2 linked regions of the Caenorhabditis elegans genome follow. The protein of the gene in region 1 purifies or fractionates together with the protein of each later gene. This does not show direct contact. Each region holds a gene or a part of one and is shown in the gene's direction. Other genes may lie near its edges.

Evidence for each region. Proteins that work in one complex are often made in the same cells at the same time.
Region 2: the proteins of E02H1.1 (region 1) and nol-16 fractionate together in Caenorhabditis elegans (co-fractionation; one large-scale study listed by BioGRID). This does not show direct contact.

The regions. Positions count from the first base shown.
Region 1 is NC_003280.10:9,588,338-9,593,823, reverse strand, and holds E02H1.1 (putative dimethyladenosine transferase), read left to right. Parts: upstream 1-2,659; 5' UTR 2,660-2,676; coding exon 2,677-2,737; intron 2,738-2,783; coding exon 2,784-3,006; intron 3,007-3,056; coding exon 3,057-3,200; intron 3,201-3,257; coding exon 3,258-3,474; intron 3,475-3,526; coding exon 3,527-3,655; intron 3,656-3,707; coding exon 3,708-3,860; 3' UTR 3,861-3,959; downstream 3,960-5,486. Other genes in the region: parp-2 (Poly [ADP-ribose] polymerase 2), read right to left, coding at 1-8, 100-177, 222-777; putative tRNA pseudouridine synthase tag-124, read right to left, coding at 970-1,490, 1,540-1,690, 1,740-1,977, 2,022-2,146, 2,194-2,321, 2,373-2,418; eral-1 (GTPase Era, mitochondrial), read left to right, coding at 4,063-4,131, 4,180-4,320, 4,386-4,703, 4,754-5,104, 5,161-5,466. UniProt on the Caenorhabditis elegans protein: Specifically dimethylates two adjacent adenosines in the loop of a conserved hairpin near the 3'-end of 18S rRNA in the 40S particle.
Region 2 is NC_003279.8:8,252,278-8,257,598, forward strand, and holds nol-16 (Nucleolar protein 16), read left to right. Parts: upstream 1-3,070; 5' UTR 3,071-3,075; coding exon 3,076-3,185; intron 3,186-3,231; coding exon 3,232-3,340; intron 3,341-3,456; coding exon 3,457-3,552; intron 3,553-3,674; coding exon 3,675-3,929; 3' UTR 3,930-4,035; downstream 4,036-5,321. Other genes in the region: fitm-2 (Acyl-coenzyme A diphosphatase FITM2), read right to left, coding at 1,361-1,468, 1,545-1,730, 1,778-1,934, 1,980-2,081, 2,221-2,420, 2,497-2,566, 2,615-2,643; sre-23 (Serpentine Receptor, class E (Epsilon)), read right to left, coding at 4,083-4,232, 4,699-4,807, 4,853-4,989, 5,037-5,159, 5,207-5,321.

The DNA.
Region 1 (5,486 bases):
TCTTCGAGCTAAAAGAATTTCCATTTTTCAGGGAAGATAATGGCCTAAATTTAGATTTTTCAACTTAAAACTTCAAATTTACAAAATTTCATAAAATACCTGATTTTCCTCCAATCGATTCCTCAATCTTACTCAAAATTTCATATCCAGTGGTGAGTTGGGCAAGTGAGAGGCAATCTGAATTTTTCTCTAATTTTTTAATACGATTTTTTAAAACTCACCAATTGGTCTTCCAAAAGCTTCGTTAAATTTCAGTTGTTTCAAGAGTCCCAGATGAACATCTTCGTCGCAGATGCATTTCATCAATTCCTTCAGCTTTTCATTAACTTCTTCAACTGGTTCCTCTTCTTTCTTGATTTCTTTCTTTTCTTTAACAATTCCTCTTTTCTTCCTTCCACGTGTATTTTTCTCATCAACTTTCGGCTCAGGTTCCGGTTCCTCCTTTTTAACTTCTTTTTCAGTCTGTCTTGCGTTAGTAGCCAACTCAACGACTGCATATTTATTGGGAACCGGTTCATCGTCTCTTTCTTCCCAATGAAGATGAGTTTTCTCGTAGAATTTGCTTTCGAAGAACTTCTTGGCTCTGTCGAGGTCATCGAAATCTTTTAATTGTGTGACACCACGATATCCAATACGTCCATTGATAAGCTTCACAATGAAATCACCTCCCTCATCCAACAATTCCATATCGTAAAATTTATTGTTGTTCTGTGCAATATTCGTCTTGCAAAGATGTACTTTATAGCCTCTTCCATTTTCGTCGTTGATTATAGACATTTCTGTCTAGCTGGAAATGGAAATTCGATTATAAAGACAACTTCTTACAATTTTCAGAAATAAATTTGGATTTCAGAAACCAATAAATCAAACAAAAAGGAAAAAATTGATCAAAAAACAGAAACATATATTTTTAAAAACAAAAAAATCAACAACAAAACCGTATTAATAACTTAAAAAACAATTAAACTCTCATAGTTTATCCGAAGATTCTTCTCCATTTTTCTTCTTTTCTGCCATTTTCTCTTTCTTGCTCTCCAGGCTTTCACACATTTTCCTATTCTCAAACCTTATGTAATTTGAAGGTATCGGACGATCTTGTACAAATTCGTGAAGTCCTTTATTGGCATCTCCTGAACTGAATTCAGCCATTCCAGTCAGTTCTCCGAGCATATTTTCCATCATTCGACTTCTCGCCTGATACGTCGCCCAGGTTTTTTGTAGTCCGGTCACTGTACTTTTCAGTGTATAGTCATGAACTTTCCATTCAACATCTTCAGATTTATATCCACAATCGAATAAGCATAGAGGAGTGTCCGAGGCTAAGGTGTACTGCGGCCGGCTCGGATATTTTTTCAGGTCAAGAAGCTGTGAGATTAATGATGGTTGTTCATTTTCTCTTCCAATTTCTTGAAGGATCGTGACTATGTATCGAATCATATGCCAAAGGAAACCACTTCCAGATACAGTGAGCTCCACCATTGAATACATATCTAAAGTTTTACTTGTCAAAACTAAACTCTCTGAATAAATAAACAATACCATTTTCTGGATGAGTCGATACTTGTTCTACCTTGACTTCATAGACTTTTCTAACATAAGACTGCAGCAGTCTTTTCTCGTTCATATCGATTTGGCAGAAATTCGAAAAATCGTGCTCACCGACCAATAGCTCCGCGCCCTGACGCATTTTCTAAATAAATAATAATTTGAAGATAAAAATATAATGAAAATACACCAACCTCTAAGTTAAGGTCAGCTTTAGCAAAAGAATATTTATATGTTCTTCTATTACAATCGAATCTGGCATTGAACGTTTGCGCGACAGGAGCCCAGGCGAAGACTCTGATGGTTTTCGGAAGAACTCCATTGAGCATTTTTACATAGGGAAGCTCTTCTCCACTAGCTTTATAGTCCACTTTTTGATGCTCTTGCGTAGAATCTGACCAAAACACTCCTGAGTCACCGGGACACAGAGATCTGAAAATTGAAATGAGAACGAGTTCAGTAAAAAAATTTTAAACCTAACAACCATTGCAGCAGTTTGTTTAAATGCGGAAACTCCTTTATCGGTCCGTCCACAACGCGAAAAATCACATTTCGTCCAGTCCTCAATTAAATGAGTTTTTATTAGTGCCTGCATGATATGCTGAAACATTTTTAATTTATTTAAATAAAGTATTTTAGAATTCTTACATTTTCCACCGTATTTTGTGTATGCGGTTGTTGAACAAGCCCATCATGCTCCCAGCCCAAATAGAAAAACTGAATTGCAATCTTCCGTCGAGGATGAGCGAGAAAATCCAGGGTTTTTGCTTTTTTTGCTGAAAAGTATTATTTTCAGATTTAATATTCAGCCCAGGCCTAAAACTTACACTTTACAGAATTATTTGCATCTGGGCATACTCTTTTTGACCCCATTGTGTAAATAAAATCAATAGAAAATAATTAAACGCTAGAAGAATAGGAAAAAGTGATTAAAAGGGATCGATTTCAAAAAATTGTGCAACTTCTGTTTGTCTGAGAGGAGTACACGACGCGCGGACTAGAATTGTTTTTTAGTCCCACGTTTTGTACTTCACGTGGACAAATCATTCTACCTTTATTTCTTTTCATTATTTTCCTATTTTCAGAAATACTATTATTTTTCGTTCATTTTCAGATTTAAAAAAACTCAAAATGGGAAAAACGAGTAAAGTTAAAAAGACGAAAGCAGGATCATCAACTGGAAATGTTCAATGTATGTTATTTTTGCAAAATTTCTATTCATAACATTGATTTTATAGCACTTCCATTTAACACCGACAAAGGACAACATATTCTCAAAAATCCTGGAGTTGTGAATGCAATCGTTGAGAAATCAGCTCTTAAAGCCACCGATACAGTGCTTGAAGTCGGACCAGGAACAGGAAACTTGACGGTTAAAATGCTGGAGGTGGCAAAAACTGTAATTGCATGTGAAATCGATCCTAGAATGATTGCTGAAGTCAAGAAAAGAGTTATGGGAACGTACGTATTTTTTGAAAAATATTTTCGAATTTAAAATAAATATATTTCAGACCTCTACAAAACAAATTACAAGTTAATGGAGGAGATGTAATGAAAATGGAATGGCCATTCTTTGACGTTTGTGTTGCCAATCTTCCATATCAAATCTCATCTCCTTTTGTGCAAAAATTGTTATTACATAGACCACTTCCAAGGTATCACTAATCTAACCTCATCAACCAGTAATTTTGAAAATTATATAATAATTTCAGATACGCAGTTCTCATGTTCCAAAAAGAGTTTGCTGACCGGCTAGTTGCTCGACCGGGAGATAAAGATTACAGTAGACTTTCTGTTAATGTTCAGCTATTGGCTAAAGTTGAGATGCTGATGAAAGTGAAGAGAACCGAATTCAGACCACCGCCAAAAGTTGATTCAGCAGTCGTCAGAATCGCTCCCAAGAATCCACCACCGCCAGTGAATTTTGTCGTGAGTAGATTATTAAAATGGAAATTTATAATTGAAAAATTATCTTTTGTAGGAATGGGAAGGACTTCTTCGTTTGTGCTTCATGCGAAAAAACAAGACACTGATGGCTATTTTCCGACTTTCTAATGTTATTGAGGTTATCGAGGATAATTTCAGAAAAGTATGCAGTTTCAAAAACAAAGTAAGTATTTTAATACTTAAACAAATTCATTCCAATAATCAAAATTTTTCAGCCAATTCCAAAGGATCTTAACATGAAAAAGGTTATTGAAGAGACATTAACAGCTTCGGGATATGGAGAAAGCCGCGCTCGAAAAATGAGAGTTGAGGATTTTTTGGCACTTCTTCTCGCTTTCAACAAGGCAGATATTCACTTTTTGTCTTGAATATCACAATCATCTTTATTTGTTTTACTGTTATCCATTTGTTCTTTGTTTTGTTGAATTTCGCGCCATCAAAAATTTTGATTAAAAAAATACGTTGATATCTTGTGTTTATATTACACCTTTTAAGGCTGGACATACCTTTTTATTTTTTTTGTTACTGAAAATTCCGTAAAAAATTCAATTCACTCAAGAAAAGTTTCAGATGATTATAAAACGGCTAAACTTTTCGTGTAGACTTTTCTCGACGGCTTCAACTTCTACGAGCTATGAGGTATTACTTTTCTTATTTTAAGATTGATAATTTTATTTTATTTTTCAGAAAACCCCAATACAACCAGCAACAAAATGTCTTCAACTTGCAGTTATCGGAGCTCCAAATGTTGGAAAATCACTTCTAACGAATTCACTAATCAGGTGTCCTTTATCAGCAGTTAGCAGTAAAATGGACACCACGACAAGGGTAAGATTTTCATTTTTAATTTCTCAAATTTCTTGTACAAACTTCATAAAAATATTTATTTTCAGAACATCTCTGCTTCAATCTGCAGCGACTCCACTCAACTCGTGTTTGTCGATTCTCCTGGAGCTGTTAGTACGTCCCATGTCCGCCAAACCATGAAGAAAACTAGTGCAACAAGTGGAGATCGTGTGCTTCAGGATCCGGAGCGAGCCCTCCAACGAGCTCAACACGTGCTCGTTGTGCAAGACTCGACAGCACCTGGAGCATACATTCATCATCGTGTTCTTCATATGCTTCACAGATATTCGCATGTTCCAAGTATTCTGGTGATGAACAAGATCGACTTGGTTATGAGAAGATCCGATTTATTACCTTTAGTTGAAGTAAGTTCGGAGAAAATTTTGAACTTCTAAATTACAAAAAACTATTCCAGATTCTCACTAATGGTCAATTATCCGACAATCAACAAATTTCTACAAAGCCTGCTCAAATTGGACGACTTGGAAAATCACTCTCCACAAATATTCAATCATCATCTTCCTTCAAACCATCCGATGAGAAATGGCAGAGCCAATTTCGAGAGCTTATTCAGAAACCCACGTGGAAATGCAGTTATTCTGAGACACGTTCCTTATTCCGTACGATTTGTGGATGGTCTGGATTCGAACGTGTCTTCTTCGTTTCTTCGTTGAACGGAGAGGGTATTGATGAGTTGAGAGATCATTTGATGAGCATCTCTCCACAGGGAGAATGGAAAATGCAAGATGGAATGCCAACTGGAGAGGTAAATTTGGAAGAAAAAACTCCAAAAGTGTATATTTATAAATATCAATTTTCCAGTCTGCCCAACAACTTTGCATTGATTCGATCCGTGCTGCAGTGCTTGACACAACTCCATCCGATGTCGCGTACACTGTACAAATTCGAATTTCAGAATGGGAAGAGCAGGGAGAAGTTTTGCAAATTGTTGGAGAAATACGGTGCCAAAAGCCAAGAGATGGATCCTTGATAATTGGAAAGGGAGGAAAACGGATTTCGGAGATCGGACGGCGAGTCAATGAGCATCTACATTCATTATTCCAAAGACAGCTATATGCAAGATTAATTGTTACCCATAACGGGAAATTAATTACCCAATCAAAATAATCTTTTTTGTTTGTTTGTTA
Region 2 (5,321 bases), on another chromosome or scaffold:
GCGATGCGGATGGGGATATTTTGAAAATTCAAAACGTTAATCGCACCCTGTATATATAATCCATCATATAGATCAATTTTCATGTAACCTATCGTATCGAATTAGCAGCTAAGCAACTAAGCCTAAGGACCTAGGTCTGGTGACCATGCTTTACTTCGGTTTTTTAAAGTATTCATCTTTGTTCTTTTTAATATTGTATCGTATATTTTTTTAATTTTTAACTTACACATAGACTGCGATGCGTTCTTGAAGGGATATTCTGTGCTTGATTGGAAGAAGAGTTATTACAGTATCTAACACTGTCCACGAATTCCAGAAATTAATTTTTTGCCTTATTTTATCATCTTTTTAAGTACTTCTTGTTTTAAAATATTAGATTGCTGGCCTCGATCTCCATCGGGTTGTTGCAAAAACCTCGTATCTCTGAACTCGTGACTTTTACATTTGTTTATCATAAACTCCGAAACCTACCTTCCGTATACTCCCTGGATAATTAAAACCCCACCAAATATCACTATAGATGCATTACTTTCATAATTTTCACACATGATCTCGACGATAATGTGGTCAAGCTACACAAAAACATTTCGATTGGGTTAGTTATTTAGTGGGACCGTTATCTTTGTTGCGTTTACGGAACGAAAATACGGTACCCGGTCTCGACACGATCGAACAATTTTAAATTAAAACGATTGTGCGCCTTTAAGGTGTACAGTAGTTTTCCCACTTCGCTATTTCCCAATTTTTAGATTTTTCTCGTTTTCTATTTCAAAACGTCTAACTTCTGTTATTCACATTAAATAGCAAGTGTTTAAATTTTAAAAAAAAGTCGAAGAAAAGTACTGTACACTTTAAAGGCGCACACTCTTTTTCATTTAAAATAATTCGGTCGTGTCGAGATCATTTATTTCACAGAGATATGAAAAATATTGCTTCGGGGAGCCAATTATGAAATTGAATGGGAGAATCAAAGTGAAAGTATGAACACAACAAGAAATTCAATTGAAGTGAAAATGGATTACTGTAAATTATTGAAATATCGTGTGAATTTGTAATTTTCTTGAATTTTTGTTTCTCATTGATTCAACAGTTTTAAGGTCGACAACGCGTATTTACTGATAAAAGCCTTGCTACCCAATGATCGCGTGTAAATTTTATGAATAAGACTTAAATATATGATAATGAATTTATATAAATAAAACAAAAACAGAACATTAACAGTTACTTAATTAAAGGAGAAACCAGTAAACGAGGCAATAGAGGGGATGTAAGACGATTTTACAAAAAGTTTAAATTTCAGGATTTTAATTAACACACAAAAGGAGGACTAGAATTTTGAAAATATTCACATTGATAATATTTATTTTCTGCCCACAGTCCGGCGAATTGGGGAGGCCAAGAATCCGGCTGGATAGAGCATGCGGTAGGTCACAAACCAGCAAACGACAGCGGCCACAGCTCCGAGAATCTGAAAAATAGGGAAATTGAGTAATTAAATTTTTGAAGAATACAAATTGTTATTCTGAGATGCAAAATATGATTACCTCTTCAATGAAGATATGATAATAAAGAACGGAGATGATAATTTGCTTGAACCAGAATGCATGAAGGAACAACATTGCGACGAAGAAATATTGAATGCATCGAGTCAAACGATCATGTTCTTCACGATCACCGTCCATTTGATGAACTGCATCAGTTACTTGTTGATAATGACGGTAAGCAATCGCCTGTAAACATTCCCATATTGTTTTCTGAAACCTTTTTTTCTTTATACCTCCTCAGTGATAATCAGAATACTGTAGATCATCAAGAAGCAGTGACCTGAAATATCATATCCTGGCGTCCAGACACCTTCTTTTTCGGAACACTGAGCACGAGTCAGAGTACGTCCTTTGTCACACATTGAGGTTAGTGCAAGAACTTTGTGGAAACTGAAAACTTTTTCGTTTAAGTAAGAATTATTGCATAAAGCTTACAATTGCACAGAAAAGTACCAACACGCGGTTCCCACTCCAAGACGGCACACATCAACGATTGGTTGATCACGATCACGACGATTGTGAGCTTTTGAAGAGAACCTGCAAACTTTATGGTTTTCGAAACAAAAATATTTGCATATTATAACAAAATACTAGATTCTGATTAACTTCTGCAAGAAAAGAGAGAAACATTAACTTATCCCTCACATCAGTGTCATTAAAATTCAAGAATACTTACCAAATAAATGGACCAACGATGACAAGTGTCCAAAACCATCCCATTTTTACTCCATATTGATTCAGAACACTGTGCTTTTGGACCAAATAATACGTGGAATCTAGTTCAATACGGGACTCGATGAAAGAGAGCACAGTCACAAAAGCCAGATAGAAGAGGGCAACTTTTCGAGCATCGATGAACAGAATTTGACGAGCGATCTGCAATATTGAAATTTTATATTTAAAACGATTAAACTTTCTCGTTTAAATTTTATTTTGAAGAATATATACTTACAGCAACGAAAATCCCGAGTGCAGCATTCGGCGTGCTATTTGGGGAAGCTGGTCGCTTTGTTGTGGAGTCTCTGAAAAATCAACTCATTTTGTCAAAAACAATTATAGTTCAAACATACGCTCTTGTAGAACTACGCCTTGTTGACATAATTATCTGTAAAATTGATTAATTAATAACCTATGAAAACTGAAAAAGAAGACTATCACACGTCGAATTAATCGGAAAACCCGAGAAAGTGTCAATTAAATGGAGAAAACTAGTCCGGCGGGTTTATTGACGAATATTGCGATTTTTAAAGCACCAATTAGTTTTTATGAGAACATAATAATATTTTTTCTTCATTGAAAACAAAATTGTATTAAAAATATATAACATTTAACAAAGAATTGTGTTGTTAAAATAATTCTCGACGAAAAAAAAAACAAACTGACGGTGGCCTAGAATCCGACAACTCATCAAGTTTCTCTTCCATTTCGTCCTGAAATTTTTTCGAAGAATCTTTCCCTATTTTCTCGGTTTTACTGTTTTTCCTCTGATTGTATTGTATTTATTTCGAAATTTTATTGTTTTTCAGAAAAAATGGCACGTGATGTAAAGAAGAGAGGAAAGCCAGCGTATACAAACCGCAGAAACCGACAAAAATATCTCAAGAAGAAGGATAACAAGAAAAAATTATCGAAAAGTGCAGTGTGAGTTAATTTTTGTCTATTTTTCCATTTAAATAGTGACTTGCAGGCCAATTATCAAATACACATGGGATGAAACTAAGACTCCTCGAGAAAACGTCCGCGACATGGGTATCGCATTTAATCCAAATGACGCGGTTCCAATCGCTGAACACAGAGTAGGTTATCGATTTTTTCAAGGCGTTGTGCATTGACGGAACTTAATTGCGCACTTTGTCTTGCGGAAGTCCAAATTAAATTTCATGCTCATTGATTCATAATTTTGAATTTTCAGAAAGAGATCATCGACGCGGAGCCAATTGACGGTGTCAGTATTGTTGTTCCCAAACCGGAAAAGAAAGTTACTGGAAGAAAAAAGAATGAGAAACAGGTAAAATTTAATCATAGTTGGTAGTAAATAACGCTAAAGTTTTAGTTTCTGAAAAAAGCAGGTCCGATGAATCGGTTTCTAAATATTTAATTCAATTGTTTTAATTCTGTTATTATTTCCAGGCAGCACACATTATCTCAAATCTGGAACAGCAAGTGAAAGAAGAAGAGGAAGCTCGAGCTGGACAAGACCGGAAATTCCGACTTTTCCATAGAGAAACCGAGCTTTGTGTCTACATGCTGGCTCGTCACGGCGAAGATTTTCAAGCAATGACTCGTGATCCGAAGAATTTATGGCAATACACACCGAAGCAGTGGGCGAAGAAGATCCGTACACACAAAGAGTCCGAGATGTGTAAATTCCTCGAAACTGCATAAGACTGTTTTTCAAAATTTTTTGATACTTTTGTTTGAGCTTTTATTGTTATTGTTGATACTGTTATGGGGGACTTTTGTTCCTTTACAAATAAAATCAAAAATTATTAACATTCATTGTGTACATTTCAGATATATTAAGCAGCTCTTCAGAGATTAATATTTGGCATTAATTTTCGGTTTTCTCAAAGATCCAGTGCGCATCTTTCCTCGACAAGCACCATCTCCTTCCAGTTGCCTCTCGAAAATCTCAAAATACATGTCACTCTCCCGGTCCATTTGAGGGCGAAGCTTTCGAATATCAACCTAAAATTTCGAACTTACACAATTTCAAAGAAAAAAAACCAGGATAAACGGGGGATTTTGCTTTAAAAAATCCAAAGTTGTTTTACTATTAAATTCAGAAATAACAAAAAGAAAAACTAAAAAAAATGACGACAGAGTGAAAAATCCAACTTTTAAAAACTTGATTTTGCAATTTTGGCTAAATTCTCTGTTTGAACTTCCTCGGAAATGAAAACTGCGACCAATCATCGATTCGCTTCGCCCACTTTTGAACCAATCAGATGTTCGAAGACGCTGATTGGTTCGAAAATGGGCGTGGCATCTCATTTTGGAGGAAGTTCAAATATGGAGTTTTGCCAAAATTGATATTGCGTGATAAAAAGCTGGATTTTTAATACTTTCGCGATGTTTTTGTTTTTCTTTTGTGGTATTTCTGAATTTGAAACTATTTTGGACTTTTCAAGCGAAAAATACAAAAATTAGTTACCTTACGACTGTCGATTCTCATTCCAAAAGTGGTTCTAGCCTTATTGAACGTGTATTTTCGATAGTTTTCAATTGTGAAAATTGCAGTTGGCACTAGAAATACGGGATTTCTGAAAAAAAGATTTAAAAGTTTTCAAAAGGAAAAAGCAACTTACGAATGAAAAACATAATCCATATAAACACGGACAGTCAGAATGATATCTTCATTTAAATTTAAAATGACTGGAAGTGAATTACCAAGCCCCATTGCTATTATAATTAAAATGATTGAAATGAAAAATCGACGCATTACCTAGAAAAATGTATCATTTCTAGAAATAATCTCGATTTTTCGCTTACCTTCAATGTTTTGAGATTCTCTTTCAATTGATATCTGATACTCAATGTGTAGTTCGTAGTCCGATGATCTCGTTCCAATGTCATCAGCCGTTGCTGATTAAAATACTCAACCAATGCATAAATCTTAATTATTTGAAAATCAACAAAACTTCTTTAGGTTGGAAACTAACCACAGCAGAACAGAATAAAGAAAAGATGACTCCAGAGATAAGAACTTGAAATGTAAGTCCTGAAGTTGTTGTGACCACGGCCATTGTGCACGAGAATATGTTTTGAGCCACGAAA